2 linked regions of the Drosophila melanogaster genome follow. The protein of the gene in region 1 purifies or fractionates together with the protein of each later gene. This does not show direct contact. Each region holds a gene or a part of one and is shown in the gene's direction. Other genes may lie near its edges.

The links.
Region 2: the proteins of kon (region 1) and Grip purify together in Drosophila melanogaster (affinity purification with western blotting, with the first as the bait; 2 studies listed by BioGRID). This does not show direct contact.

The regions. Positions count from the first base shown.
Region 1 is NT_033779.5:18,494,548-18,511,697, reverse strand, and holds the start of kon (kon-tiki), read left to right. Parts: upstream 1-7,719; 5' UTR 7,720-7,885; intron 7,886-10,260; 5' UTR 10,261-10,897; coding exon 10,898-10,985; intron 10,986-15,656; coding exon 15,657-15,853; intron 15,854-15,912; coding exon 15,913-16,143; intron 16,144-16,217; coding exon 16,218-16,399; intron 16,400-16,458; coding exon 16,459-17,047; intron 17,048-17,150. Other genes in the region: Ugt301D1 (UDP-glycosyltransferase family 301 member D1), read right to left, coding at 1-75.
Region 2 is NC_004354.4:5,958,555-5,975,267, forward strand, and holds the start of Grip (glutamate receptor interacting protein), read left to right. Parts: upstream 1-7,724; 5' UTR 7,725-8,011; coding exon 8,012-8,183; intron 8,184-16,713. Other genes in the region: fs(1)M3 (female sterile (1) M3), read right to left, coding at 1-2,882, 2,935-3,197, 3,255-3,734, 3,797-4,183, 4,235-4,727, 4,784-4,919, 4,993-5,603.

The DNA.
Region 1 (17,150 bases):
GGAGCCAGCTCCAAATTCCAGCAGACCGATCAGGAAGATCAACATCCAACATTTCCACTGCAGCTGCATCTCCATCTGATTTGAAATCAACATGGACAATTAACAACATCAATTAAACAGTACGCCGAGTAGGGTAAAAAGTCGCGTTATTAGCGTCAAATTAACATTAGCTGCAGTTTATGTTCGGTGTTTGATTTCGTTATTTACATAAAGCACTTTACTTTGCACATTCTGATTGCAAATGATAGTGTTATTGATGAGATTTCTGGTTTGATGGATCGCAAGATCAGGTGGAAAATGAATATGCTGCACATGAAAGGGAAACTGCTACAATAGTATAATTAATTAAGCTCAACACTTTTATGAACACCTAACATACGGCCATATGTTTTTTGTTGGCTTGGCATAAATAAATATTAAATCTGTAACGCAACTAATATGGAATTCATATCTGATCTGGTCTTTTTCGCATTCAGCGACTTATACACTCAGTCCGTTAAATGAACACACCTCTCTGGCTTTCTGTCATAGAATTTAATCTGATTGAAATGCAGCACGGTAATTTCATCATTTTAAAATTAGCAATTAATATTGAAGTGGACCAGAAAGCTTGTTAGCTTACCCGCCTTATATGGTATGTCTCCCATTATACCATCATTAAGGTGTTAATTTCCAGACATCGTACAATTCCTGAACATCATGCAAGTTTTATAATGTTTACCCATTCCTAATCTTATTTTTCTTTTCGCTATCAGAAAGTGGGTCAAAATACGTAAACTATAAAAAGATTGTACGTGCTTACTCGACCTTAAGATAAATCAAATCGTCGAAATCAAATAAGGTTTAATTGGATTTAACGTTTCGTAATTTAATTACATTTAGCTTAAGTGTAACCATTTGCAATATTTATGGGATTTTGTTTAATTAAATATTTAATTTTATTGAACAGTTTAGCGCGTGTTATTTCCAGCCGGAATTTATTTGTATTTACGTTGACACACTGTAACAGAAAGCTGAACTGAAATACAAGTAAACATGCAACAAGTTGTCGTCATTGAGGCGAGCTGATAAATCGCATGTGGAAATAATTTTGTCATCACAGCCCGTATTTCGCATTGCATTTTACTGTTATACTTAAAAGCGAAATTCTATTTCCTTATATTAGCTACAGCTGAGAGCATTTTGTTGTTGTATGTAATTCCAACTGAAATGCAAGCTATGTAACTAAGTTTTTAGAGGCTTTGGTCAAGGTTGCAAATTATGGCATAATTGTTTATAATTTGTTCATTACGTGCCAACGCTAATTGTTTAAAGTTGGGGAATTTAAATTACTTAATTTTAATTATTTTGAGTGCTGGGATGGTGGATAGATCTTGTAACACTTGAAAAGACTTGATGGTTAAAAGGGTCAAAGCTAATGTTTTTTGAAAGTAAAACTTTTTGTGTGAGATGAATGTGAAAGTTTTGGTGATTATGAAATTGCTTTTTTTCCTTCTTTATTTTGCAAAAATTTCAACAAAATACACTTTATAATGCTTAACTAAGCCCTTTTACATTACCGGAATTAAAAAATGCAATGAAAACTGGTTACGATTTTTTTAATGACCTAATTAGTACAATTATAGCAATTTAAACTAACCTATTAATCTTTAATGATATTTTCTAGGTCGAAATAAATAAAATTGTGGAAATCCAGCTCTTGGAGCTGCAAACTTTTTTGGATTTATTATTCTCGATGGTTTGGAATTTCTGGTAATCAAATGCTTCCCAAAAATTGTTGTGTTATGCAAACACGTTTAAGCAAATCCAAAGGGATTTATTTAATTATTTAATATTATTATTGAGTAGAATCGTATCATTGAATAGAAAATTCAATTTCATATAATGAATATTTTATTGTATGATTTATTTTTAAGCACCTGAATTGTAGATTTCTTTATTTATTTTCGCTTTTCTAATGTCTGATTTATATTGCTTGTTTATTTATTAACCTTAAGTGTATTCAATTGCCTTTGTCTCACAGCAATAGCACCAGAAAATATTTGCACTTGGAATTAAACAAAATTAGCACGTTTCGAATTCAAAATGAATTTTAGCCCGAAACGCGACCGTTGGGCACCAAAGTGCGGTTATCACTAAACTCGGCGGCACAAAGCCCCGAACACCTCAACTTAATCAGCATTAGCCTCAGTCAAAGTCTCAGTCTCAGTCGACGCCAGCAGATGCAAAATGCATATACAAGCAAAAGCTTAGACGTATCTGTGGGATTCGAGTGTTAGTGCCGCCCTGGCACAGAGATACAAAAATACAAAGGCGAATCAACCGGCGACGCTCATTGTTTGCCCTAATCTTATTTGATTTTGATTGTCTCGTATGTGTGCTGGGATAATTACAATATTGATACAGTTGATTGCAAGTGTTGCCAAAATTATTATTACCTGTCAGTTTCCCTCCTTACACATACACAGATGCCCACTCACGTGTCGGTCGACAGATCAGCAATTGCAAACATATAATTTGTACTGCGAAATAGAATTGGCCAATTGGCCAATGAACTTTCGACAACGGAGTTAAAAAATTCATCAGAGTGCGAGTTTCAACAATAAACAAAAAACGAACAAGCCAAACAAGAATTGGGTCTTATCGACAAAACAAAGAAACCAATTTTAAAACATTGGTAATTTATTAAATCAATCATGAGCTTCTAAGGAGCATAGAAAGAAGTTTTCTGATATCAGGATACAGTGATCCCCCTATTTAGTTAAAACTAATAATGTAAACAAGAAAGAAATCGGTAAACTGCCAGAAATATATTATTGGATATATCCCTATATATCCCTATATAAAGACAAATGTTTTAAAAATAGTATCATTGAGACTATAAGAGCATTTTAGGTTCTGTAACTTATTGTTATCATTTGGCAACGATGAGCCATTCACATTCTTATCAACTAAGAATTTAATAAAAAAATAAATTACTAAAATATAAACCACTTCAGGATCTTGCAATAAATCACGACTTTCTATGTATCAGTTGCTTTCCCAGGGGATTTCCGTGGGCAATTACTAATCGCATTTCCTTGTTCGTCAGAATTAAAACAATGCCCATCGATTGAGTTCGCTAAAAACGTGTTTTATTTGCAAACGGAAAGGAAACCCGACATTTTTGATGGGTACATTACATGTATAACACGAATTTAATGCACTGTTATTTGTGCATTCACCTTGGAAGCGGTCAAGTTCACTTCACGATAAGTCATATCATTTAATGATAATTAATGTTTGTTGACTTTTTATGGTAAGCAAACAAATGGAGAGGAGAAATGCCAAGATAACACAAATGGCATAAAGCCCACTGAGAACATGCAACAAATTAAGAAAAAGAGGGGAATTAATATAAGGCAAGCTGAAAGAACTCAAAGTCGTCTAAAAAAAAGGGCATACAACACAAGAGGCCGAAACATTTCATTGAAAATTGGCACGCTTCATTGAAGCGAGTCACAAAAAGCTGAAACCACTCTCGAAAAGGGGCGAAAGGGGCGCAGGGCGTGGCTGGGCATGGGCGTGGGCGTTCACCCAAACCGGCGACGATGATGGACGACCATGCTCCAGGCGGAGTTTTGATGGCAACTCAAGACATGGCCAAGAACGGCACTTTTGATGCGAGCGATCGCCGGGAGAGGCCACCAAACCAAAAAGAAAATGTTCATTCATAAGATCGCAGTGGACATGCCACAATGAAAATGAATGGCCTGTAACAAAAATGTTGGCGGAAAAAAGCGAGAAGAAAATGGTGCTGGAGCAAACAGCTCATTAAATCAGCGGCAAATTAAATAAATCATTAAATATTTTTAATTCTGCAGAGGTAAGTTCTCAAACAAGCTTAAAGGGGCTTAGAGTCATTTAAAGAGATTTAATTGAATGATCGGGCATTACAGTCAATAATCAAGTTATTAGAAATATTTAGAAATACATTTTTATACTAGAAAATAAATCTATCTTCTTGCAACCCTTAGCGACAATATCAAATGATTCACTCTGAATCATTTACGAGGTGCAAACGACAAATTGCCTAAAACACCAAACCCCACATATAGGATTGCTGTGATCAATGGAACTGGACCATAAACGATTTCATACCCAAAGCCCAGCCCAAATGTAGTGTACTAAAATGGTATTAAAATACAGAGCACTATTTGTCAGTTTGCGCCAATTTAATGTTTACTTTGCACTTCACCCAACGGCCAAATTAGGGTAAATCAAACAAAGCCATAGAAGCGAGACCTTTGTATCTCATGCTAGCCATTAGTCTGCATCTATCTATGTATCTATCAATCAATTAAGGCAACGTGCGCTTTATCCAGGCGCGCTTTAGATAAAGACACCATCGAGCATAAAATGGGAACCAAAGCCCACGATGACACTGACAATTTCCACGGAACGATGGCCTTTCAATTCGATCGCGTTGCGTTGCGCGGGGCAATTAAAAATTTCACCCAAATAGCAAACGTTGCGCATGATTAGTCAACGAATTTGAGAAGTTCGATCCGAACCCGCATCGGGAAAAACTCGAATCCAACGAAATCAGCGGGTGGTCGAAGTGCCCACGAAGTGGCAGAAAATTGTAGGCTTGAAGGGAGAGAATCTTGTTTTGGCAGCTGTCAATGTGTCAATATTAATTTAATATGTCGAAAGCAGAATTCAGCACAATTTAAAATTGAGTTATAATGTGACAGACGAGATGGTCTCGCAATGCGTGGTACTCTAAGGGTTGTAAACAGAACTCAAGTGGTTGCGGATACTCGATGGTTCAGTGACCACCCCGCAATCTCAATTATTTGCTGTATTTCTGATGGGCTTTAACTCAAGCAATTTGTTAATGAGCAAATTACATGGTCACTGCATATAAATAGTTTCCTAGTTTCTTTACCTTAACACAACATAGCCTTTTGAACCAGAACACTAGACACGCCCTCAAAGTGATTCACTGCCGAAGGAACTCCCCTATTTCACAGGAATTTCCAGCATTTGGTTACATATAGGCAAACAACTATAAAAACTGTTCAGGCGTAAAAGGATGCACGGGCCTTTTGGAATGTACTTATGCTAGATGTACTTACCACTTCCTTTCGAGATAGCACTACCAGTGGCCACAAGGAAGGCCTCGATTGGAAATTCTTCATGGCTCACTTGCCTTCTTTACATATCTAATGGAGTAATTCATTAAAGTGGATTCGGAAATATTTAAAAATTGTCGTTAGAATATTAGTAATCTTTAAGATATATAAATTAACCATTTTTTCTGTATGCATTCTCCATCATCCAATATTCTTTCATAATAAACGCCCCGTTTTGGGTGATAGAACTTTGACCCATAACCCTTGCAGAGTTGCTCTTTATCTATTAGTGTTAAGATTAGTGTTATGATTATGATAGTCTATGCAAATACCCTGAAATATGGCTTTACCACTTGACAACACTGAATGCAAACAGCACGTGAACATTGAAGTTTTCCTGCCACAAACATAATACTTTCGGAAAACATTTGACTGCGTATCTGTCTCACTGGGGCTTTATCGTCGATTTTGTTTCGAATGTTTTTGGGTATTGCACACAAGGCATTTTCAGCATTTCTCGTTCTGTTTTCAACGGTGGTGCTCTTTGCTTCCCTGGAGCAATTAGTAAAAGTGCAGTTTTATGTGTTTATTTTTACATATGCCACAGCTGTGTGGCCTAACCTAGATCCACGTAGACGCTCTCGCCGGCACTCCTCCGGAACAATTTTCCCGAACACAAATTGTGCGTGATATGGAGTCGTTGCTGTCGCCGTTATCAGGAACAGCCCCTAAGGGTTTCCTTTCGCGCTGCAGTTGCTCTGCTCAGCCCTAAAAGGGGGCGAATAATAGAAGGCACACTGGGAAAAATTCGATATACCCCAAATCAAACAGTGTAAATTATTTTGAAATCAGCTTAAAATCAAAATAGAGCCCACAATTAAGGAGCCACTACCACTTATGCTTTCAACGTAATTATTTTAATTTGACAAATCATATCTTATTAAGACCGATTCAAAAAGTTAATCTTTCGTCAAAACGATTGACTTTTTTCGGTGCACTAGCTGGTTTAGGAGTTTCCCTAGGTGATTTTGTGTGATTTTATGCACTTAATTTATTAATGAGCTGACCACGGCGAATTCTTCATTCGCAGCGCCTGATTTATGTGGCATCTGCTGTCAGTAGGAATTTTTGAGAGCCGTCAGGGAGGTCGAATGATCGCTGGGTGCGGGTCGCCGTTTGCTGGTTCCTGGTGTCAAAGGGTTCATTAGCACGCCAAAAGGATATTTACACAACAGGGCAGACGGTGGGCATAACAACAAGCAGGGACCGTGTGACTTATGTAACTTAATAGGCTGATGAAAAATGGTAGAGATTTTTATCACTCGGCATCCAGAGACATCCAGAGAAAGGCAAACAACATGTGGCAGAGTCGAAGGCAAAGACGATGGCCCAGCCAAATTGAAGCCACATGTGTGGGTGCACCGAAAGAAAAATCACTGTCATAATTGGACTTATATCTAGTCTTTTATAAGCAATACAATATTTTTATTGTGTGAAAACCTTGGAAGAATAACTATGATTTAATATTTGGTTAAGTACATCATTTCCCTAAACTTTCTTCGACAATTTATACAATAATTGGACATTTTTTACCATGTATGGGACCCCTGCTATCCACAATGAAGATGAAGATCATCAGAGAGCAGCGTCCAAGCACCGCTAAACAAATTGAAAAATTTCAAGTCCTCAGCCTCTTGGCGCTCGCAATTGCTCAATCCGCGTATTTTCGCGTGCTGCACAGGAAAATGAAAATGAAAAGGAAAAGGGGGGAAAACGGGGAGAGCAACCAGCAATGAAAATGAGCAGCCGAACAACAGAGTGTCATCAGCGGTGTATCAGTGATGAGCACAGAGTCTTTCAAATTTGGAAAACGGGTGAATGGTTTTTCAGAGAATCATATAGTATAGAATTAATGATGCCAAAAATTGTGCGTGGTGTTCACTTTACCAGCAATGATTCACTTGTAGTACCAAGAATAAATGACACACAGAACCATATAGAGAGTAAGTTTTAAATTGTGTATAGTCCTGGAAAAAATTATATTGGTTATGAGTAAGTGAGTACCTCTTATATCTTATCTTATTCCAGGGCCAATTGTGTAGTAGTAAAAAGTTTACTATTTTATCATGACGACAATGCAAATTCGTTTTCTGCTGAAGAAATGCAAATAATTGTGAAAGCCATGCTTACTACATACTGAAACTTTAAGTGGTGTCTCTGACTAAAACGTACACTTACAATGGTGTCTTCTCTAAGATAACATCCTTAAATGAGTTTTTTATAAAGTCCTTAATGTTGATGATTCATTCCGATCAGCCAGTTGATTCCCAGACGTATCCCTTTCGCATCCCTTGGCTGCGCGAGCGGGCAGCTCATCACTGCTATCTAGATAGAGATACATATTGGGCCGCGTTCGCGTTTGCGTTCGCGCGTTCGCAGAGCGCACAAAAGTCACTCGCGGGTGCGCCATGGAGTGGTGGCACCAAATCGACATCGGAGGCATCGGCGGCCTTTCAGGGAACGGGAACCATGGGGTCTGGTCCGGGGCTCATTGGGCACTTCGAGCGAGCGCACTACTGCGTGCGGAATTTTCTTTCCTCTCGGCTCAGTCTGTGAGAAATCGTCGGCGTGTTCGGTTCGTTTGCTTATCGGAAAGCGGGAAATTCGGTTGGTTCTTGGCGCGGGTGGCGGCAATCGGAAAACGCCGAAAACTCTGACCGCACGCCCCTTCAGAGTTTTTCCAAACGTGAGTGGGCCAGTGGATATGTGTAAGAAATAGAAACTTAATTTATTTTTAAGTTTCTGGCTTTCCTCCCCATTTTTACGGTCGGCACTGTTCTGTCAAGAATTCCGGCTGAAAACTCATTGTGAATGAAAGCGTTTGTTGTTGTGCGTTTGGTAGATAAATCTTAAAATACGAAAAGATACAGAACTTTGCAAATTGACCGTGAATACCGCCCATTCTGATGATTCTGTGAAAATTGCCAAAGGGCTAAGTCAAACAAAGTCAGTGATCTCAACGGAAGTAAACGAAAACTGTGTGCAGAAGCAGCTAGGCAAAATATAAATCATTTAATTTTAAGGCATACAGAGTGTGAAAAATGAGGTGCTGAAATCGCGGACAGAAAGTCGAGAAAATGAATGAATCAAAATTGGGAAAATAAAAATAATTGCCGAAAACCCAATGTGAAAAACAGAAACTGTGTGCCAACTAAAAAAATATTTGAATTAAATTTAATTCAAATTAATAATCTTGAAAATGACATTCAAGAATCATTCAAGTATCAAAAAAAAGTTGAATAATAACTAAATATACCCAATCCCATAAGAAAAAAGTTTAAAATTATTTAAAATTTTCCTTTTGCTAAAAGATTGCCCAAAATTTAAACTGTACCCATTTGACTCCGCCCGTGGATATATGCACCAATAAAATTCATATTTGTGACATATGGTGCTGAAATCGCACCAGAGCACAACTCCATTCATCAATCGCAGTACTCGGCGATCATAAATCAGAGTGCCCGAAAAGAGTGTGACTAAATCAACGACTGCAACTGAGATGGAGTAGGAAAAGTCCGCACACCTTGGAGGTCTCTTGTTGAGTTAGGAAAGCGTACAAATCGGCGTGGGTAGCGACGCCTACCAATTTTCCAAATGAAAACGCCGTTTTCATGGCTTATCAAATCAATTTTTAGATTCGGTAAGAGCGGTATTTTGTTGGCCTTTTGTTTTCACAAAAGCTTGTGTGCCACCAATTTTTAATTGCCATAAAAAATATAAACTAGTATGAAAGAACTTTCCCAAAGTGCTTGTAGCGGCAGCTGGCAGATTCCGACTATCCGGTAGATACATTTATTAATTTTTATGTTAATGGGGAGAAAAAGTTTGGTCGGAAAGAGGGAACACGCGTCTGTCATAAAATGCACCCTGGCGATTGTCACTTTATTTTTTCGGTTTCGGTGTCGTCTGCAGCGGCAAGGCGTTTCAAATTGTATTTTGACTGCTGCGACGGGCTATAAAAGTATTCGGAACGACAAGAACTTGGGCGGTGCATATAAAAATTAACAAGCTGAATTAGCAGAGCGAACTTAACGAGAATGCAAGACACCACGACTGATATTCCTGGAGGCAGTATCTGTGCAATTGACCTCATGATGTCGAACCTGCCGCAGTTTCGTGCTGCAGTTTGCCTTGGGAAATAAATGCATAAACATAACAGAGTCTGGCGCAGTATTTTTAGATACCCCCGGCGTAAATAATTCATTTTCCAGTCACAGTTGTTGACGTTTCGGCGTCGCCCGAAGTTGACTTTTCCTCTGGGGACGTCTCCCTTCGAAATTACAAGTCCCTCTCGATTTGCATTCTAAACTTGAAAGAGTGCCTATTTTGGGCCTATGAACACTTCTCGGCTACCGTACCGAAACAAGGCCCATGAACTTTGACTGGTGTTGCAAAATTTTGAACTAGAAATTCCACTTCATATAAGACCAAATCCCTCGTATTGCTGGGAAAGAGCTTAAGCTGTCCGGCCACTTAAGGCCACTTTTTATGGGTGATCCCCCCACTCCGTCACCACCGAAAAAATACAATAAATTTTACTCAACTGTGCAGCAATTTCCACTGAAGTGGAGGAGCATAGTCGTGCCTCAGCTTGCTGCGGCAGCAACTCAATTAAGTCTCCATAAAGTATCTGTAGATACGCTAATCAATGGTATACATACGTAGCTTCATAAGTAACCCCAAAGCATCGGGGTCCCGGGTACTTGAATTTATTTGAGATTTGTTTGGCTTAAAATCTATGGCAATTAAAATAGCAAATGAATGACTCAAGTGGAAGCTGTATATAATAACCGAGGAATATAAAATCAAATTGAGCATAAAATCAATGAAAATAAACATGGCCGAGTCAGCGAATGAATTCATTAAATAACTGGATTGAAAAATTATTATAAAGTTTTAATGGAGTAGTGATAATCATTTTCCATTATATTATTAATAAATACCTAATGTTCAAATCTAGTAGATGTCATTTACCCAACTGACCAATTATAAATGCATAAAACGTGCCATATAAATACCAGTGAAAATTTAAATAAAAAGGAAAGCAAATGCGTAATGCCCATAAATCTATTTCCAATTACAGTGAAGTGAAGCAGTTGCCAAGAGAAATAACAAATAAACGACTAGTCGCATCAGTCGTCAGTGTCCAATGTGTTTATGATAAAACTCGAACGAAATTGAAACGTAATCGGGCGAAAGTTGGCTGCAAAGTGTGTGTTCAAAGGGGCGAGGAAGTAAAGAGGAGCAGACGCTTCAAAGGAAGCTAGTGCGACAGTCAGTCAGTCAGTCAGTCAGCCAGTCAGTCGGTGGCAACGTTCGAGGTGATTCCCCTTCCTGCATGACTTCTGTCAACGAAATGATATGCAGCATCTGTCTATGTGGCCAGCGGGCCAGGACGTGATGCTGTGCCGCTGTTAGAGAGGAAACCTCAATGTTCCGATGTCTCGATGCCCCCGATGATGCTATTTTTATGAGGCCCCCAGACTACGAAGACGACGACGGATGCGTGGCCCCATGAAAAATCAATTAACACGCAAAATTATTAAAGACGAAAAACAAAGACGAAAACGAACGAAGCGCGAGTGGTACTTGAGGTTCCGGATCTGTGAGTCCCAGTTCCCCATCCTCCAAACCGATCCGATCCGATCCGATCCGATCATCCTTTCCAGCAGCCGCACACCATCTTCGCGCGTTTATAACTTCAAAGCAGCTGCAACGGAATGTCGCGCCTCCGTGGATTAGGATTCGGATGGCTGTGGCTGGCATGGCTCGCCATATTGCAATTGCAAACTGTCGCAGCCATGAAAGGTGAGTTCGAAAAAACTAACTTTTTTAATAAAAACCAGGTAACCAGAAGCTGCGACACAGAACGTACAGTTAATTAAATGTTACGACAGTCAGGTAGCCAGAGATACGCGCCCCAGAACTTAATACCGCGCATAAACATGAGATTTATCATGGCAAATGATCAACGCACGATTTATGCTCATTACAAATATGGCCAGCCACGAATTGGCCGGAAAAAAAAAATAAAAATGCGGTCCAGAGAGGCAGAAGCAGCTGAAGCCAAATTGCATTTACTTTGGCTGCCATCGAAGCCGACATAAATAAAAGTCAAAATAAAGAGTTGCAAATGGTGCAGTGCCACATACATTTTGGTGTTACTCGCGTGCGCCATAGCGCAGATACAGTGGGCCAACTAAGCGGAATTTCGATTGAAAAGTACAGTACGAAACTTTAAAATATCAAAAATATTTTAAATAATTGGATTTACTATGATAGAGTAGAGGTTATATTTAATTTGTACTCTTTGTGGAAGATTTACTAGTATTTAAGGAATATTTTCAATGCCTTAGAGTTCGAGGAATTTAAGCTTATGTTTTGCCCTACACTTAAAGCGAAACAATCAGCTACGCAGCTATTCCCACGAGTATTTCACGGTGACCTGTTGAACTTTGAAAGATTTATGTCAATCCATTTCTCTGACTAATTCGACCAACTGGTCGCTGTCTGCTGTGGGCTTCCTTCCTGTTGCTATCTATCTCAGATATTTTTCTGTATAGCTATCCCCGCCGTTTGGCATTCGCAATGCTCCATGGCAACCCTGGCCGGCCCATAAAATCCAACTACTTAACTACAATGCGCCGCTGCAGTGCACTTAACGCATTTTTCACGCTTGACATTTGACTTGGGGCGCACTTTTCTCGTTGTCGTCGTCGTTTCTGCTTCTCTGCTGCCTTTTGTTGTTGCTGGCCCTGGGGAAACGCAGAGTATCCGAAGCTGAAAAACTCAAAGTATCTGTGCGGTGCACCGCCACAGCTATCCAAAGTCAGGCGTGCTCTTAATTTTCATTCTATCAGCACAGTCAGGAGACACACATGTACGAGATATATTTTGGTCTTGGCGTAAATGTGTTTTTAATGATATTTTTAGTTGGGATGTGACGTCACTTGGGGGCTAAGAAGCCAAACGTGAATCATTCGCGGCAGGCGCAAATTGTTTTCCTCGATTTTTTTAGTCTGCTTTTTCATTTTGTACACAATAATAAATAAGACCAAGGATATAATGCAAATATACTGTTTGAAATGGGTTATATCTACATTCGCTCACTAGCCCGTAGTTTCTGCGCTACTTATCAAATTTGTTTAAAAAAATTTGTGTATATTCTTTTAAATATACAGATTTCATTTTTTATGTGTACATTTAAATATATATTTTTATTTATACGTGAAATGTAAATCACTTACACGCGCAAAGCGCTGTGCCAAATTTAACATAGAACTGTGTGAATACAAATGTATCTACACGTTTGTATCCGTATTTGTATCTGGTTCGCGCCATCTGCCTAGCTGTGTGTCGCCTCTTGATTATTCATTTGCATTTGCAATATAAACATCAACACATGCCCAATGTTAACTGCAGGCGCAGTAAAAAGCGGTTGCCTGCATATAAAATACAATAATTTATTTTGGCGACAATGTGTGTTCTCCTTTTAGATCCCCCTGAGTCATGAGAAAATGTGTCTTTATGACTTGCCGATGCGGTGCTCAATTGTCGATAGTTGAAGCCTACCCATCGCAGATAATTGAGTAATTGAATTTTATGCGGCCCCAGAGTCTAATTATGCTGAAGGCCCTGGCGATAGCGACACATGTTCGCACATTGGAGATTATAAAACAAGGGAAGCGGCAGGGAAATGCCAACTCAATGGGGCTCTTCAGTGCGGTTTTTATTTGATTTAGATTGATCTCTTAAGCCATCCGAGGGCCATCAGAATGTGGACGCGATTGTGAATGGGGTGAGGAAACTATTTTAATGACTGCTTGGAAGATCACAGGAATTACTGCAATGATTATGGCCAGCTAAAAAATTTTAGAAGGCCTTTGGGGATTCCTTAGAATGAATATTTCGTAGAATAAAACTTAAATGGGTTTCATCTGTGGGAAATATCTAAGATACTACTTTTATAGTAAAGATTTAGCAAACTGAACAACATTTAATGTGTGGTGCTCTATTCAAGAGAAATCCTTATATGATCACCTCAATCTCTTAGCCAATAAAGCATATCTCTTGTGTGACCATCAATTTGCCTATTAACGTCCGTAAGCAGAACTCGCATCTCCATAAATATTAACTGCACACAGCCAACAAAAATCCACTCAAGATCACGTAATAAGCCCACAAATCACGAGCTCCACTAATAAACTCTGACATTATTAGTGAAATGAAAACTACGAAAAGGAAAAAATAATTTATAAATTGCCAATGTCAGATAAAGTTTTAATGAACAGCGACTTCGGCGGGCCACCAAAGGAGAATTAATTAAAGACCAAAACGAGAAGCGAAGCAACGACACGATCATAAAACCTATAGAAACCCGAATAGCTCCAAAGCTATGGGGACACCGAGCGACATATAACTCAAATAAAATAAACATTGGCCATAACATAAATATTCGCTGGCTACCTAGCCAGCTCCACCTCCGTGCTGCATAAAAGATAAACATAAATTTAGCATTTGATAGGGGAGTTGCATTTGATGTCGGGGGTTTTCCTATGCTTTTCCCGAGTGGGTGGAGAGGTGCCCGGCATCTGTGGCCATAAGTCTTGTGTCGTGTGCTCGCCTCTGAAGTTTTCCCCATTTTTGGACAGACTTTTCCTGATGATGTCTCATTTGTTGCCGCCCGACATTTGGAATGACTTCTGACGCTGATGCTGATGTTGATGCTGATGTTGAGGCTGCTCCGCTCCGACTGCACCACATTTTGTTGATGCAAATTGCATTTATTGTTGAGCATCCAACTTCCTGAAAAGGCATGTGTTTGGCGTCACAAAGGGGTGATTATTGCGCGCGAGATTAACAAGAAGAAAGCTAATTTTTGACAAGCATTTAGATCTTGCAATCGCCGATTTTCCACTTACAGTCAAATACTTAAGTATTGAGTTTGGTCAATGTTTGCCTTACAGATCGTATATCCAACTATAAAGGTACTTATTCTTTTTCAATTACAATATACAGATACAGAAACGAAGAATCTTCAAGTTTGTTGGAAATGTAAACATTATGCAGATTTTTAGGCCTTAAAAGCTTTCATGCCCCCATTCTATATCCGCAACAGCGGAGTTTTTGGAGGGTATTCAAATGTGCGGTGACGTATTCCGCGTCCATATTCCGTGTTATTGTTTGGCCAGCGATAAGACGCCTCCGCATCTTGGATCGCCTTTGTTTTGCGTTGAGGCACGCGCATCATCTGAAGATGAAAAAGTAGCATTTACAGCGCAGCCGAGCATTAATGTGGGTCAACTGCCTGGGCCCGCAGATGGGAAAGTGTTTTTCCTATGTTTTCCGCCGCTTTTAACGCCTGATTGCTGCTAATTGGCGTCAAAATGGTACGGCCAAAGAAGCATCCATAGTTGACCATTTGTTGCCCATTTCGCTTTGTGCCTGTTTATCCGGCAGTCTGGTGCTTGTCTGCCATTCGCATGCAACTGTTTCATGTTTATCCAACGATTTCTATGTGGGTTAGGTCAATATGTCGTTCCTAGCAGCAGCTTAAAACACACATAAACAAATGGCCAGCAAACATTTTCCATTTTCCCGCAGGGTGGTTAGAGAAATTCTTAAAATATTTATCGAGTCTCGCGCAAAGTTGAATTCCATGTTTTGACAAATGTTTGTTTCCGAAATAATTTATTGCACAAGCATACGACAGAATGTAGAAAATCATTAATCATGCAATTTTTACGAGGTGGGATTGACTCGAAAGTCAAACGAGAAATGGGAAATTATTCATACAACGTTCGAAGTTTGTCAGGTTCTTTGCTTTATTTTTTTTTTAGATACGAATGTTCCCGAGAAAGACACGTTCGACTCAAGCCCACAACTAATTACGCAAATCAAGATACAAAAGATGGCTCTCAATAGATAGCCTGATAAATGACTGACTGACTGACTGAGTGACCTCGACAGACATTGACTGACAGCCCGACAGCTGATGGCCTGATCTAAAACGATCCACCGATCTGGACAAATTTGTATACGGATTGCAATAGAACGCGGTTGCCAATCAAATTGGCGGCAGCTCTTGCAACATTATGTGCACTGGTCAGTGTATCTGTTTCCATCAGTTGCAAATGTATCCATATCTGTCATTTGAATTCAGTTTAAAGAATGTATAATTAGAAGAAATTTAAAAGAAACGTGAAACTTCTATATATTATAGGATATTCATAACTTAATCACCACAACCAGAATTCATAAGAAAGCGAACATTATTTAGAAGTATTAGAAGTATCTATAAATTAAGACAATTTCAACATTTTTAAACATCTTTCTAACACTTGTTGATTGAACAAAGAGCTGAATTTAACCCACAATATATCTTACTTATGCATGCAATTTTTTTTAATTATAAAAATATTTTTTTTGCGATCTCAATTTGCCCATACCCATGTCTATGTCTATCCTATCCACCCACAGTTTCCCTCTTCGGCGATGGCTACGTATCGATGCCGCTGCAGGAGGCCAAGATGTCAACGAACATCCGCGTCAAGTTTCGCACCAGGCAGGAGAACGCCTTCCTCTTCCTGGCCGCCGGACGGACCGACTACTGCCTGCTGCGCCTGGAGAGCGGTCTGATCAGTTTCAGCTATAAAATCGAACGGGATGTGGTGCAGGTGAGCCATCGATCGAGTCCCCTTACATATGAGCGCAATTACAGCGATTCCGGTTACAGCTGCGATCGCCCAAAAAGCAAAAGCTTAACGATTTGGAATGGCACGATGTGGCGGTGCAGAGGTTCGAGAATAATATCACCTTGCAGGTGGACGGATACATAATGCGCAAACAGCTTCCAGGCGATCTCGCCGCCCTCAATATCCACTTCGGGACATTTCTGGGAGGCGTGGGGGACTTTACGGCCGAGTTCTTGGATGATGTTATCGGCTTTCGGGGCTGTATATCAGATGTAAGTAGTAGAACTAGTTTTTGATTGATAATTGCTAATGCTGATATATTATAATTTTTGTAATATTTAAATAGGTCTTTTACAACAACATAAACATCATCAAACGCGCCAAGGATCGCACGAGTCACACCACCAGTACTGGAGTTGCCTGGACTTGCAGCACTGAGTTCGAAGGGTCCATTCAGGACAGCATTAGCTTCATGAGGAACGATTCGTATTCCTTGATGATGAAAGAATCGTATGCTATGGGAGAAACGTGGGTACCAGGGAATCAAATCTGCCTCTTTACGTATTAAATCTTTCACCTTTTCACAGCCTTTCCTTGCAATTCCGCACAATGGCCAGTGCTGGGGTTATTTTCTTCAACGGCGGCTATGATTTCATTCTCCTCGAAATAGAGGATCAGCACTTGAAGGTGACCTTCAACAAGGCAGGCAGTCTGGTGCAGTTCATGACAAATGAGCACATATCCGATGGCAAATGGCATCGGGTCTTCTTGCGCTATAACGCCGCAATTGCGGAGCTAAGCCTCGACGATGCCACGAGCGGTTATCGGGGAACTCACGCTAATGAGACCAAGGCGAGCATAAATCTCGAGAAGAGCGTCTTCTTTGGCGGCGTTCAGGAGGAGATGCGCCGCCGGCTCATCAGCAAGGGACTGCGGATAAACGAGATCAGCTTCAAGGGCTGCATGCGCGACATCCTGGTCAACGATCTTCCACTGGGATTCGCCGAGATGACTATCTCCCGCAGCCTGGCCCTCAACTGCCTGTGGAAGTATCCATGCGTGGAGTACAATCCCTGCCTTAAGAGCGGAATCTGCAGTCAGCACGGAGTGGACGGCTTCATCTGCTACTGCGATCAGTCCTACTGCATCAAGGCCGATTTTCAGGGACCTTTTAAGGTATGTACAAAATATTCCTTAAAACTATATATGTACATACATATATCAATTTAAACATACATAAGGAGCTCGTAGAAACTTAGTAACAAGCTCTTTAATTAAT
Region 2 (16,713 bases), on another chromosome or scaffold:
ATGCGCTCCTGGAAGCTCAACTGCTGGATGGGCTCAAACAGAATTTCCGCGGAATGAGAGTACCGTTTAAAGATAGCTATGTGTCGACAACCCAAACAGCTGACCAGAAGTTGGTTTCCCTGCATCTCTGCCAGGTCATATGAGCCCTGGATCAGCTGAAGCATTTTGAAGTTATGATTTAAGGGATCCCTATAATGGATGGCCAGGACAGGACGATGATTACTCATGCCACTGGTGAGTATTAGATCCTGTCGGGACTCTACCCCCATTCGAACCAACTTCATAAGGCGCCCATCTGCTGGTAGCACGGATTGCCAATCGGTGAGACTACAGTTGCTCCTCTTCAGACGCAGGACACGAACTTCCTCCTCGGTGCCCAAGAGCAGCAGCACCATTTCCCCCATTTCCAGCAGTTCCATGGCTTCCACTGATTGACGCATTCCCAGCGTATGCGTTTCATTACGGCAACTAATTCTGATCCTGCTGCGCAATCTTCGTGCTGGGCGATGACAGTGGTTCTGCACCTTCACCCGGATATCTCCGGAGTGAAGTCTCATCAGTTGATTGGACACACTCGAGTTGGCCAGGAGGACGCGACGTTCGTGGATCAGGAGCTTGGCTTGTAAAGTCCTACGCTGACATGGAGCAGAATAACCCAAGGGCAGGCTCACCTGCAGTTCCGAAGATCCCCTAAAAGGGCCTTTTACCCAAGTAGACTCCAGACTTTCGGTGTCGTGATCCAGGTAAAGTAGCCTCCTAGGCGAAGTTTGATTACCCAATGCTAGAAGTTCTTGAAACTCCTCTAACGGATTGCTTTGCACTTCCGTCGCTCGCATTCGATTGGGAATTTGACTTTGAAGTCCTGCTAAAACTAGTCCACCTGGGAAGAGAGCTTTGTCCAGAACTAGACTATCGATGTTGTAGTCCTTATTTCGAAAGATGCTGCCCCTGAAACTTTCGCTAAGCTCACGTCCATTCAGATTCATCACATGACCGGGTCCAGTGAACTCCACTCCTCCACGAAAAGTCTTGGCACCCGTGATGCTCTGCGTCCGATTGCTATGCCGAAACACCAAGTTATCCAATTGAATGCCATTGATAGAACGTAGAAGAGGCTTTCCACTCAGCTGAAGGTGCTCAAAAGTCAGTGAACCGAATACCTCCAATGCGTCTCCCTTTAAGGGAATGCGATGTTGTAGAAAGTAGTCCAGATTCATGTTGTTTACGGTTTTCAGATTCAGGTCCTGTTCGACAAAGAGGTTCTTGAACGTTACGGGTGGCCAGGATTGCCCCTTGCCCTGCTGGTATATACTTTGTATCGGAGCTCCATTCACTTCTGGATACTCCAGTTGAAGTTTGCCTATTTTTGGAGCCTGATGAAAGTGAAGATCCGCTGCAATGGCTTCTCCACTGGAGAGGCGGTACAGTGAGGCATTGAATCGTCGTATATCGATTCCGTTTACCAGCTCAAAGTGTGCATCCTGCTCCAAGTGTAGAGTATTAGCTCTAACTAATCCCTGTAGCTCTTGCGGAGCTGTTATCACCTGGGTTTCGTTTGTGGGGCTCCGGCGAAGTAGGGCATCTTCGGCCAATTGAGTGAAGTTAAGATCAATTGGCAGGGAATGCTTACTTTGGATATCCTTTAAGTAGGGTTCCTTCAGTAGAACGTGTCCGGCAATGGTCTGGTTGCCCACTCTCCTGACTGCATGCTGGCGTAGGTAGTCTAGCTGGGATTGGGACTGCTCTTCACCATCCCATAGAGCATCGCCGGTGACTATCAAATTCCGCCAGGGAAGTTGCTGCACTTGCTCCACTCGTTGCTTGAGATCATTTAAAACTGCCTCATTGACAAAGGGACACTTTAGGCTGCCATTGATGTTCAGTTGCTTTAGGTAAAGATCTCCTTTTAGTTCTAAGTCTTTGCGTGTGTCTATAAATTCCTCCTTGGGTACCCCATTTATTCGATTTACATCCACATTGGTGGCCATCATGCGGTCGAAAGTGTAAGCACCACTGATTTGCTGGGGTGTCATTCGCAGTAAGGTGTTGTCGAGCAGGGAACTTAGATCCAAATTATTGATGTGAGGACTTTGCAGGGCATCATTTATTTGGACATCGGCCATGAATGTCTTTTTACCCCGTATTTCCGCGTTAGAATCAGATCTCACCAGGCGATCTAGGTACTCGTCCCATTGGATTCCATTAATGTTCTGCACTTGGACAGCCTTGTCAAATCGTACATTTCCTTCGATCAATAGTTGCTTGTGAAGAAGTAGGGGCTGTTCACCATCTTCCGAAATTTTGGACAGCAGTTCATCGAAGGGCAATCCATTAAGTCGCCGAAAATGAAGATTCTCCAGATGTGGGGTTTCGGTTAGTTCGAGGCGTTGCAGGCTGATATCGTGACCAAGCAGCTGTTGCAATGGCAATCCATTAAGATGACTCACATTCAAATGATCATGAACGTTGATATCATTCGCCACCACCACACGGGCAAAGGTCTTTGTACCCGTAAAGTTTTGGGTGGTGTTTGATTTCACCACTATTTCACTAACAGGTACTCCGTTTATTTCATTGGCTTGAAGTGCTTGAACAGTCAAAGGTGCCTGGAAGTGTTTGTGCCCCGTGATATTAACAGCGTCTCCATGACTCACTGCATCTTTTGCGATCTCCGCCAAACGGGAACTGTAATCCCTGCAAATAACATCGCCCAGTATGGTTGCATTCATAAAGATAATGTGTAGAGTGTTATTTGGGTGAGTATGTTGGTTCTGCTGTCCTCCGCTTAGGAGATGATCCCTCACAGGATGACCGTCAACATAACTGGTGGTCATTGAGGGAACACTAACTCTGGCATGTCCAAAGGTCAAGTTAGTGAGGTTCTGCGGAAAGACTATTGTCATTAAAGTGAATTAAATGAAGTTGAATCTCAACCTGTGGCGTCTGATCAAGAAGGTACGTAGATTGTATATCTTTTCTGGCGAGAGATTGGTTTCCGAGCACTATAAGTGAGTTTGCCGTGTCTCGCAGGACATTTGTGACCGTCAGGGATCCGCGGATGGTTACCCTGCCCGTGTAGTACTGTTGAAGACGTTGTTCCATTGGATCGTCGAGTTGTCTGGGCTGTGGCTGCCACTTGCTCGTATTGCCCACAAAAATGTCACCCGAAACACTCATCTGATTGATGCGAACAGGAGCTGAAAAATATGGATTTGTTAAATGATTTAATGGAATATATCAAGGAGGACACTAACTTTTTATCCATGTATCATTGCTACCGCGATGAAGTACATCGTGGGCAAAGTCAAGTCCATTTACTTGCTGAGCCTCCAAACGCGGAGCAAAGAAGGCGGACATGTAGATATTCGAACTGATCACCTGGGCACGCCGCAGATTAAAGAGACGATCCACCACGAGTCCGTTGAGCAGAGGTGTCTTTAGACTGTTCACCCGGACTCGCGATTGCATAACCAAGCGTCCTTCTATCGAAGTGTCACGACTGCGCAGGAAGAGCGAGTCCAAAAAGTCGTTCCACTGCACTCCGTTTATCTGTTCCACTCGGAGATGACGAACTACACATTCACTGCCACTGGTTTCCTCAGGCGCAATCTGGGCACCACTGGAGTTGCGGAAATCTTGGGGAGTAACCAATTGATTTACCCTAAGCTTTTTCGTCTGCAAAGGACTGTTTCTGATGGTCAACATAGGTGGTTTTGAGTTATCCAAAATGTGGCCTGTAAATTAGGAAGAAAAAAAAGATTTATATCATATTCTATTCCTGAATTCCCATACTTGCCTGAAATTAGCTGTCCCTTGTAGATAAGATTGCCCACGCGCAATCGTCGCGCTTTGAGTGTCTCCGGCTCATCGTTCTCGTTTCCTGTCCCAAAAGAGCGTGTGGTTCGCCTGGTCTGGATCGCTTTAAATCGTTGACGAAGTTCCTCCAAGCGTTGCTTTAATTGGGTGGGCGTGCGCAGATGTTCGTCCACCAACTGAAGTCTTCCTATTTGTCCTTGCTGCACTAGATGCAGTGGCGTGTCGAGGTGGATGGCCGATTTGCGTTTTAAGATGTCCACAATGTTTCTCAGGTTTTCTGTAGAGGAACGACGGCGCAGCAGGAGGCCACGTAAGGCATTGATGGACTCCTCAAACTCGTGACGATGCAATTGGACAACACTTAGATCTGTAAAATCACTAGTTTCAAATTTCCACTACAGAGTTATATTAAATGTACCTTCATCTGGAGCAGCGCCCACTTGGTTGGAGATTTCTTCCACGCCACCCAATTGCACAGTTCGGATCAGATCACTCGAGGATCTTCGATAGGCCAGCAAAAGAAAGGTCTCATTGTGCAAGTTTTTATGAATAAGTAATCCACTTGGATCCGCTTCTCCAGCCACCTGAAATCCACTATAGCAATCCAGGCGAGTGGAGCTGAAGACGATCACCTCGCCATTGGCACGGGCACCAATCAAAAGGTGACCCTTTTTGGTGGCACTCAATCGACGGAAACTCAAATCTTTTCGAGCATGCTTTCGGTACACCACAAATTGTCCATCCACCATTCGGAAGAAAATACACGAGGCAGATGCAGAGGAAGTACAGGCGATGAGGCAGTTCCTCCCGTGAAATCTAACAGCTTGGACACTTTGCGCCTGAACTGTCAAAGCCTGGCGTTGTTGCAGGATTCGGCTGTTTCTATCCAGCTCGTAGATTGTGAGCACCAGCTAGAGGGAAACATAAATGAATTAAGAACCATCTAAATTATTAAAAGTTATATCACCTTTGACTGGGAACCCTTTAAAGAACGACCAAAAATGATATAAAGTGGCTGACGACCAACCACTTGGAGAACGCGAATGGCGGGTAGAGTGATCTCCTCGAGTGGATTAAAGTAGGTGTCCAGCCACTCAAAGGTTCTGTGAGGAAGTCGTCAATATTATGAATGAATAATGAATCAATTTTTAATTGAAAATGTATGCCAATCCCAACCTGCATTTGCTGTGTGATCTGGTGTGATTGGAGGCCACTAGGAGGAGCACCTGATCTCCACTGGGTTTCAAAAGGTGCAGCTGTAGAAAAGCACCTGGCAGCGAGAACTCCTGGAGGGGCTCAAAGCTCACCTGTGTGGCTGGATCTTCGGATAGGAGCAGTTCCTTGGGCAACTGGTAAACCTCCATGGAATCATCCAGAACGATGGCAAGGAGCAGGAACTCCCGCCAGGCCACAACCTCTGCTCCGAGAGCTCTGCGACCACTGACCTGGCCCGCCAAGTAACCAAGCGGCACTAGACGCCTCTCCCCAGTGGCCACGTGCAGCTGAAAAATCTCGTGTCCATGGAGCAGTAAAAGTAGATCCTCTTCCGGTTCGCGGAGCACAAAGAGTGGCTTCTCATGGCGCACCATCATGTCCACAAAGGGCAGACGGATTTCCGGGCCAGAGCTACTGCCATTCAACCCATTGCGACAGGAACTGGGCAGCAGCTGGGCAGCACTCGGATCTCCAGCGACTTCTGCTGCTGATAATTCACTTTGTACTTGGGCGATATAGCTATTTAACACTAACACACTAAATAATGCTGCACACACGCTTGGCGAAATCATTTCGCAAGGATTGCAGGGACTGTTGTATCTAGTGATACTAAACTACAATGATATATTCAATCCATTCACATGGCACATTACTTTTGGTGTGCCATTTCTCTTGTTCGTAACTGTAAACCAATTTATACTTCGTGAGAGAGCTCTAGTATAACTGTAAAATGAAAAGAAATACTGTGAGTGACGGAAAGCGCGCGAAAGACAAAAACTCATCGAACAGTTGTTGTTATTCCGTTACAGTGGAATAAACAGAGTTACTATATGTAGAGTGAAATATGTATATTTTTGTAGTTCCTGGTTTTCCGATTTGAGTTCTCAGCCTGAATGTAGGCAACGGAAAGTGCTTTCATTTGTGCGCTCAACGAGCATTTTTCCCATGTGTCGCATTAGTTTTCCCCGATTTTCTCGGCACTCGTCAGTCAATCCGCGTCTCTCCGTCCTGCTTTCTCCGCCTGCAGCAGTGACACCTTGGACTGGGAATTAAATTTTTCGTACGGGGTTGGGCAGTGGGGAATGGGGCATATAAGGCTGGGGATCTAAAAATAAGGCAGACAAACTTGGAGAGTGCCTTCGACGTTTCTGCTGAATCAATCAGCTTCGATCATTAGTCGAGGTCATTAAAGACATTAAACCTCGAGCCACCAAAAAAAAAAAGATAGAAAGGAAGAGAGCATTTAACACGGAAGAGGGAATCGCATAAAAATAAATTTATATGTACGTATGTATGCACATACATACATATGTATGTGAAATATTTTGGGGGCGGAATGGGCCTTACCAAGTCACCCATAAATCCGCAGCTTTAACCTAAAAGGTGGCCACATTTGTACTTGCAGTTAAATCGGATTTAAGGCACATATAAATATGTATTAATAGGTGTACAAGAGGAAAACGGTATTCATGTCATCGCCCTCGGGGTCAGGATTTGGGGGCATCCGTTGGGAACACCCGCTGAAATATTTACTTTGCCCAAAATCTGATTGATCGCAGCATTGACATGTTATGCAAACAACATTCCAGTGTAACGAATATACAATTGTAAAATAAATAAGAGCAAAACATACAATCGGATGTTAAATTGAGGTGAACTTAAAATTTTGTAGATCAAAATTGGCTTTTATGTTTTAAACTTTCAAAATGTAACTTTCCTGAATGCCCTTTTAAGTTTGTACCATTTCTAGTTGGCTTAGTGCATGGCTAATACCAGCTGTTGGTTTCAGCAGATGTGCTCACTGGTTGCGTGCTGCCGATTTGGTTCATTTCATTTCGGTTTTTGTTGTGTCCTGTTTCTGTTGACCATTTCGAGCAGTTGCCGTCGCGCTTTTCGTGACTAATTAGCAAATTCGCGACACCCGTTTTGGGAGCATTTTTTTCTGCGTTCGTTGTTTGGCGTTTGGCGTCACAGGCCAAAACCCAAGTCACCCCTCCCCCAACACACTAAACCATTAACCATTTCGGACTACCGCTTAACGGTTAACAGAAGCAGCTGATTGTCATGCCTGCGGCTCATCAGCGGGCTCATAACGGCGCTTTTGGAGTGGCGGTCTGTGATTTGAGTGCCTCCCCAATGGGATACTCTTCTGCCAGAGAGAGGACGAGAGTAAGAGCGAGAGAAAACTCTTTCTCCAGTAGCCAAAACTCCCCAAAAAGCGCTCCGCTTACGCACCACTCTCGCTCTCCTTTTTCTCTTCCTTTTCTCCTCGCGAGTGAGTCACGCAGCTAGAGCTAGAGCTGGAAAAACATCGATGCTCGTCGCCGTCGATGTTTTCGATGTTTTATGGCGAGAACATTGACTATCGAAAAATAAACGAAAAATATTACTCTTTCTGTTCTTTTTGTGTGCATTCGTATTCGTATTAATAAATATGAAAATTAAAACATACAAATATATTTTATTATTACTTATTTATTTTCATATATATACATACACACATTTAATACGGGTTATACAAAAACTTTCGATTAACTATTATCTACAAATTTATCTAAAAATATAAACTCATTTGCAATAAAGGATTCAATAACAAAATTCAACATCAAAGTTAACAAAAATGTTCTGCAACATCGATACTATCGATGTTACATCGTTAATTCTACCACCTCTAGTACTGGCGGCAAGATCGCTCATTGTGCAACTTTTGGCCGTGCTCCGCGGACGTGCGCGCATCGTCAGGTTCAGTCGCATCGCAGTCGCCGTCGCCGCCGCAGCCGTTGAATTTCCAAATTGTTTTCGAATTTCCCGATATCGATTGGAAACCGAATTCGTTTTTAAATTTACTTTACCTTTTTTTTTTTTTTAAATATACAGTTTTTTTTTTGTGAAAATGCCAAATTTGCCATGAGTGTTGAAAAATCGTAGAGATCGCTGCGTTTTCCCATTTGGGGAGAAGTTGGAGAAAAGAAAACTCAAGATGAAACTGTGGAAATCGAAGAAGCCCATTGGTGGCTGTGTGCCCGGAAAATCGGCCGCCCTAAAACAGGACCAACAGCAGCAACAACAACAGCAACAGGAGTCGCACAACAACTCCTTCAATGGACACCATCATCCGCCGACGGACACTGCCTTGGCGCCCATGTTATCCGGTAAGTGATGGGGCTTTCCCAATCTTCGAATTTTCCAATTTTCCCATTTCCCCCAACCCACTTCCTTCCACAGCAGATAGCCAGCCAAAAATCATCTAAAAGCGCCCAACATGTGCGCTCCCATTTTCCGCTTTTCCGCCTTTTCGACTTGCCGACTTTCCGTCTTTTCCCCGCCCGCTCAGGGTTATCGCATTTCCGCCCAAGGTGCTTGCGTTTGGCCCTCAAGTGCTTGACTTTAGATATAGATTTGTATACAAATATCCGACGGTGTGTTTGCATCTCTATATCCAAGTATCCAAGCATCCAAGTGCTGTTGAAAATATAGTTTTCGCTCAGTGTGTGCTTGTGGGCCAAGACAATGTTTGACATTTTCAATTGAAAGTAATTGCTCGCATTTCGTTTTCATTTTCCGATCGCTCGAAATTTGTCAATTGCAACGCCCCTTCCCTCAAAGAAATAAAGAAACCCCCCATGGAGCCGATGGAGCTGGGTGACCTGACCCTTGATTACCCAGCGATTGGTTTAATAGGATCAGCAGGCAGTTTGATGGATTACCCGGCCATCGAATGGCAATCGAATTGGATTGCCAAATCAGTGAAGTTCAACGGTTCGCTGCTATATTGCTCTATATATCATGACTAATTGGAGCTGATCAGATAAGCAGATGATCAGATGCATTTCCCATCAATTGAAGGAAGACCTAATTGAATGGATTGCGCAATCTCAAAGAGAAATACCGAGAATTTGGTGTACCTATAATAAATTAGCTTGGAAGAAAAGAGTATCAGTTTCGCCCACCTCCATGGCTACTGTTTCAACTTTGACCTATCATAAGTTGAGATCTAGATAGGACACCCCTTTTTGAGGATCTTAAAAGCCGTTCCGCGAACGCTGTTCTCTTTTTATTTTCAGCTTTTCCGTTGATCTTTCGCGGATTAATGATCTAAAAGTGCCGCCAGGATGGACGCGAGGAAAAAGGCGGCTGGGATTTATGCCAGTTAAGGCATTAGCGGCGTAAAATGATGGCCCAACTCCAATTGCAACTGCAGTTGAACTTTCCAATGAATGAAAAGGCCAGAAGAGAAGGAAACCAGATACCGATGTGCTATGGGTGAAGTAGAGAAGCGCAGGAGATACAAAAGTATCTGCATCTGTTCGTGTGCGCGGGCTTAAATTGCATTTGATGAATTTATGGCATGGCAAGCGTAATTAAGCATTTAATTAAATATTTCTGATGCTCCGCATTGTTGTTGCTCCAACTGTTGCTATTGCTGTTGCTGTTGCCCCTTTTCATTGCTTAATTTTCTTGCGCGGAATGCCACAGATTGTATCTGGTAGATAAGGCCAAGTGCCTGGCCAGAATGCAGCTTCTGCTGGTGGCAGTTGGTCGATGTGGATGCGCTTACTGGGCCAGACAATCGTCAATTGATGCCAAATGACTAGATGAAGTCGTACAGCAGTGGTCAAGATAATAGCAGCTTGAATAGGTTTAGCTTAAGGCTTCATTATAATTGGTCTTGCTTAGTTTTCAAGTGTATGCATAGTGGAAGCTTGAAGGCCTTTCGAGATTTATTTCCCTGTTGAAACATAACATTTGATCTCCTATTGTTTCGACCCCCTGTGTAAACCTAATGGCACGCACGTTTGTATGTAGATGCATCTGCAATTGGTGGCTGTGGATGGTTGCCTATCCGAAGGCAAACAGAGGCGTGTACTCATCCAAAAGGGGGGGATCAAAAAGGGGGGAGGATGACCAGATGTCACTTGTTTACACAGTAATGACAGCTACAACAGCAGAAACAACAACTGCAGCGATTGATTTGACTGCTCATTTGACTCCCTCGAATGCAAACAAAGGCCTGAGAATATCGAAAGGTGTTCAATGTCAATGCACCGAACAGCCCAAAAACATCGGGCCCAAAATCAAACAGATGACAACTCCCCCCAATTGGAATCGAAAAAAGAACCCCTCACTCTCTTGTCCACTTTTATGGCACATTAAGTGCCCATAAAATCAACGACAAAACATTGGAAATCGTAAAAAGAGTTGGAACTACTCGAAAAATGTCGAAATGATATAATAGATCAACAGATTATACTGTCAGCGTTGACAGGCGGGCGATGGGAATACGATCTAAATTTGCATTGCTTCCCAAGGATTATTTCGGTAAAATAATACCAAAATAAATTAAAAAAATAAAATGCTAGAACATCTTAGACATTTTTTTTTTGATTAAATGACATTTGTCTTGGCAATAAATTGATACATTTTCACGGTGATAAATAAATGGTGAAAAAATGCAATTGAGGTCAGAGTTTCATCTTTTTTGTGATGGTCGAATCGAAAAAAGATCACGTCTGACATGGAAAATATTTCGAACTTATGAGGCGATTAAATTTATGGAATTTTGATGATTATTACAAGAGGTCCAATGACAAAAATCGGGAATGAATTGATAGTGGATAATTCCTTCTGTCTTTTACATCTACCATGTGTGTTCTTTTCTCAGATTTTATGCGATTTTTCATTGCATATGTCGATTTTTTATGAGCTGCATTGAATAAATGCTTGAAAGACAAGTAAAACGCCAAAAGAAAATGGGTCGCGTTCTGTCCTATCTATTTGTGGGTTTTTCCTTTGTTACTTTTTTATTACCAGTAAATTGAAGTGTTCGAATTTTACAACTGATTTGAAAGCAATTGTGATTTAACCATTTATCTGAGGGTATGTGAATTTTTTCTTTTTTACGATCGAGGGGGAGTTTTTAATTCCAAATGTTGTTCGCAACATGGTGTATTTTTTTTTTAAGTCCTTTCTATGCTTTAAGTGTTAGTTTTAAGTTTTTTTTTTTGTTGTGTATGCTTCTGTTTTGCTGCAATTTCCGAATCGTTGGCGACATTTGACTGCTGTTGATGGGTTTATTTTACTCCCTGGGGACGCACATCGCTCCTCCCGATTTTAAGCACCCTCGCCTTCGGGGATTTCATGCCATGCAGCAACAATAAAAATTGGGAGTAGGTTCGCTCATCCAGGGATTTTCATAATTCCCGGTCTATTTTACTATTTGTACTCCAAGGAATTGGGTGATATGTGATGGATGGAATGGGGTGAGATTGGGGAGTTTGGGGAATTGAGTGGATGGTTTAAGGGCGTCAGAGAAAAGGAGCGGGTTAACTCATTGCATTGTTGACGACGACACGAAGTCTATGCCTGCTTGGGTAAATATTCAAATATGTGTCCCTACACATGAAAAAATTTACATGTGCAACTTCGAAGGGTATGAAAAGTATAAGTATAATAAATATTGTGTTTAGGTTAGGGAATATAAGAGTTGTAGAGCTTCGAAAAACATTTCAATTTTCGGGTTCTTGGGAATACTTTTTCTCAGTGTAAGATTGTCGCGTCACTTCCCTGCTTTGTGCACCCCCCCCTCCCCCTTGCCAACCGTCCAGCTGCACTTTCCCATTTGTTTTTGGGCGTTCCCCCCACCTTTTCCCACTTTTCCAATTTTCGTGCCATGTGCGTAAGAGTTTTCTCCGCGTGTGTGCCCGTGTGCGAGTGTGTGTGTTTATTTTTTCGCCACATTGCGGCCATTGAGTGTAAACAAAAAGACAACAACAACAACGGCACGGCGGACATGGGCGCTGGGGAAGGGAGTCCGAAGTGCGTCGAAGGGAACTCAACAATTTGACGCAATTAAAAACAGTTGGTGCTATTTATCAGAGTTGGTCGCACAAGGGGGATTGGGAAAGAGAGAGGGTGTACTAAAACCCCCCTGACTTAAACCTCTAATGGAATTAATATAAATTAAAGCTCAAAATAAAGATAAATAAAAAATAAAAGAGAAATAACTATGAATGAATTGATATGATGTCCTTAAAGATCCCTTCTATAGCTAACTCAGCCTACGCCACTGAGCTTTGAGTGTTTTGTTTTCGAGTGCCAAAGAAGAGTGCTTCTTTTGTTTTGGGAGGCGTGAAAATCCTTTAGGGCCCCCATATCATAAAGCTGCCAAATCAAACGGAAGCGACGACGGAAGAAGCAGCACGTAAACAAAGCGAGCTCCAGGCAAATGACATTTGTGCCTGTTACCTCTTTCCCAGCCCCACCGTGCACAGTGGGCCGTATGGGCACAATAGCCACAGTGGGAAGGAATGGAATGGAATGGGTTGGGTTGCGGCTGGAATTGGAGTGGAATGAAATGGCAGCAGCTGCTGCCAACTGATAACTCAAAAGCAAAGTTCCGCCACAATAACTGTATAAAAGTTCACTGCACTTCCGTTGAACTCCAGTCGCTAGATGGAGGCACACCAACCAGGGTTCACTGTAGTCCACTGATTTAATAGGGATATTTCAATTCGAATGAAAGCGTTGCAAGTTAATGCGCAATTTGTAGAAATCAACTGAATGATATTCACATAGTACTTTAGAGTAAGCATAAGCATGTAATTATTTTCCTTTGACTTCCAAATGCATCGTGTAACTTTCCAATTTCCTCTAGCAAAAGTTTCCTTTCTCCGACATGTATATTAAATTTTTAATGGTTTTGGCATATATTCTAGCAATTTGCTGCAAAAATATATTCATACTTTCGGGCACTTTTCTTTTGAAGTTTTTTTTCAATTCTCGCCTATTTTTGACAATTACTTTGTGCATACCCAGAACCAATTTCGAACCAATTTTATGGTCACTTTTCCTTTGTGTGGTCTCCTCCTGTTTGTAAACAAATTGCTGGTCCTGCTGCTGTTGTTGTTGTTGTTGATGTTGTTGCAGTGGCATGTTGCAAACATTTTGCTGCCATTTATTTTTGTTTAATTTTCCTATTGCTGCCGCGAAATCTGCCACAACGACGTCACTCGGCAGCAAACATAAGTCGAGACAGAGAAAGAGAAAGGGTAGGGAGAAGGGGGGAGAAAATGAGAAATGGAGATGCAGACAGCAGGGGAATCACACATTTTAGATACACAAACTGATATCTACAGTAAAGGTTCCTACAAACGAACCATCTTTAAAGATAAATCAATTGAGTCTTGAGAAACAAGCCATAGAGTTTGCAAACTTATTTTTAAGAAAACTATGAATAAACAGCTTTTACCTATAGTTTCCCATAATGTTTTTTATGACTTAAATGCAAATCGCATAGCTTGAATGTTCACTTTGGAATTGAAAATACATTTATTTTGTAGAGCCGCCGAACAGACGCTGTCCTTTGTGTGAGACGGTCCACAATGCGCACGATCCGCGGCCCCTTTTCACCGCTTTTCCTGCCAGCCTACTCCATTTCCCCAGCCATTTTCCCCATTTTCCGCTGCAACCAGAAAATATGCGTAGTGAGGGAAAATGTCACAATTTCAACGGCTGATGGTGCAGCGCAGTGTAAAAATAGCAACAAATACTGAAAATAAAAACAACAACAGTCATGGAGCCATAGGCGTGTGCCAGGGGGTTAAAGGGGTTTCAGCAACCCCTCCGAAATCGGTATATGAAAACAGTGAAATATTCATTTAGTTGGCACCTAAGGTGCGCCCCTTAAGAAAACCCCAACTACGCCACTGTGTTCAGCACACGTTTAATATAATTTGTTGTTGTTATTGTTTGCGTTTGGCTCCTTTTGTCGCGTCTACAACTTGCATTTTGGATTAATTTGTAAAGTCTGCTGTTGGATGACAACCGCTCGCCCGTCTCTGTCTCATTAGGCTTCCCTCTCTGTTGCATATGCACTGCAGTTGCCATAATTATTTGCCTGTCTACCACCACCCACCGCCCGAGCAACTTTTCAACTTTTCCACTTACCACAACTGGCAAAGCATTTTCCTCACCCTTCTCAATTGTGTGTGTGCAAATATTTGTGGTCTTTCATGTTTGCCTAATATCTGGCATTTTCTTAAATTCTACCATCATACAACATTAAAGGTTCTTATAAATATTTACCACCACCAATCAGCAGCAACCCTTTAATAAAGTGTTACTTTACAACAGATAACTCCCTTATCGTGCAATCAATCAAATTTCATAACGATCGAATTACTTTAATGAGTTGCAAGTACGATTAAGTGGACGTTGGTACTCCCTGTTGAATGCTGATGATGCTGTTCACTTCATGGGAAATTCACTTTCCGTTTCGGGAAATTGGGAAATTGGATTCCGGCTATCCCAGTGGATCGGTCACAGTCTCATTATGGGCGGCATAACACTTCATTTCATCTCTCATAACCGCCAGCATTTGCCCCATCCCCCATTCCTACATACTCGCATATCTCATCCTATGAATAAATATCTTTTTACTGGTGGCCCTTTAATTGAATTTCGAGCTACAAATTTGTATGCATCCTCCCCGAAACAAATTTAACGATGTTTGTTTTTTCCCAATCACTTTCTGCGTGAAGTACTAAACTAAAACCGAAGCGTTATCGTGGCGACTTTGTCAACGGTAAAATCTCAATAGAGCTATCCAAAAGCGGACCTATTTTCATTTCGGGAAGTTGTTTGTGCAACAGAATACCCTGTCTTATCATCAATGGAAGATTGGTTGGTTTTGTGCGTGAGTTGCCAGTGCGGCCGGGGATCGGTTACGGGTAATTAACATTTTGGGGCATAAATCTGGGGCCCCTTACCGATAGGAGTCGGATTATTGGGCAACTGGTTTGCTGGGGTTAAGTGGACACTTGGGGGGAGGGGGGAAAGTGTCGCACATGGCGAGCGATATTGAGAAGTGCTGCTGAATTGTCAAATGTTCATTCTTCATTTGCTGAAATGAAATGTGCTGTACGAAATTATGACTCTACATATATGCACTGGGAGAAATTCGACATGCTATCGGGCATTTTTTAACAAATACTTCGACTTTCAGGCATATAACAGCTGAATGATATACATTTCAATAATAGAAGTTATAATTTAGTTATTATAACCTTTAAGTTGGATCTGTATTTTTTTTTTTTTGAGTGCACTTTCAGCTTTTACCCAGTGTTCCTCCCCCTTCGAAGAGGCATAAAAAAAAAATACCGAAATGGTCGTAAATCAATTTTGATGCAAAGTTCCTCGACTGCAACGCGACTTGGTGGCGGCGGCTCCACGCCCCTGCAACTCTGCCCCTTTGAGCTGCAACATCATCTGCGCCTTGAAATACTTTCGCGAAAAAGGGTGCTTTTTTCGCAGTGGGAAAGGAGGAGGCACGTCGAGCTGGAGGAGCAGCGACAGCCACATTTGTTACGATGTGTGCAATGTGCGGGCAGCCATGAAGCGACTTTACTGCCGTTTCAGGGATACAGCTCACATTGCACCCAGGGATCTGGGTCCTTGGGTGTGGCAGATTTCTGCCGGGAAGGGCCACGAATGCGAAACATTGTGTGTCACAGTAGCAGCACATTCAGAAGTCCAGGTGATCGCACAAAAAAAAAAAGTAGTAGATTTAATCAATATATACCACCCCCTTCAGCAATTGCTGTTACATCCCTGATGTGCTGATTTGCTTCGGTTATTTTGCTGCACAAATTATTATACATTTATTATGGTGGCTCAGTCGGCAAATGAATGTCAGCGTTTTGCTAAATACCCGAGGATCTCAATGGAGTGGCTACCAATGTGAGTGGGTCTGTCTTCCTGCGCTCTCACCCCCCTCCCCCTCTGGCTCCTTGAGTTTCCCCCCCTTTTTTCTTTTTTTCTTCTTTTTTTTTTTTTTTTACAAGGGTCGCCCTTTTTTTGCGCCAAGTTCGGTTCATTTAAGTTGAGTTCGTTGCGGCTGTTGCACTTTGGCTGCAGCGCCTGACCTCACCCCTCCCTAATCCCCCCTTCACCCTTTCCCCTTTGCAGGCGACGCCCATGGAGGGCTGTCCTCGGAAATTCGCTTTTGTTGCGGCTTTATCAGATGTTGACATTTTTGCGGAACCACACTCGAGTTCATTTGCAATAATTGGTTTTTCTTGTTGTCTTCGCCAAGGAGGAAAATGTGCGAGGAAAAATATACATACGACATATGAGAGGGGGGGAGGTGTGGAAAGGGAAGCCTTGTGCTAAATAGATTCCATTGTGAAATTTTTGACATTCTCGCATTTTCACGCCCTGAACTGCGTGTCCATTAATGAAAAAGTCATCAGCACTTGGGGAAGCAAATGTAAAGTACACAACAGCTTAGTTCTAAAAAATGTCATTGAATGAATATCATTAAAGTTTTCAAAAAATAATTGAAAAGTATGTTTACAACAAAGAATATTGTCCGAAGTTGCATGGTGGAAAATATATTTACGTTTCAAGTCACTTTTTTTTGTTTGCAGTGCAGACCCAGTTTGTATTTTGTGGGTTAATGGATACATGGGCACTTACTCGAACGTAAAAACTACGCAGTTTCAGGTTCTGTCCCAGGTTCCCTTAGCCCTCTGACCCCCTTTCACCAGAGTGTTCCCCCTCTTTTGCAACACGAAGACTCTCAACCGAATACATATACATTCATTTTTTTTGTATAGCCAGAAAAATAAACTGGAAATTGCGTGGAGAAAAGCGCCGCTAAATGCAAACAATAACAGAGCGTCA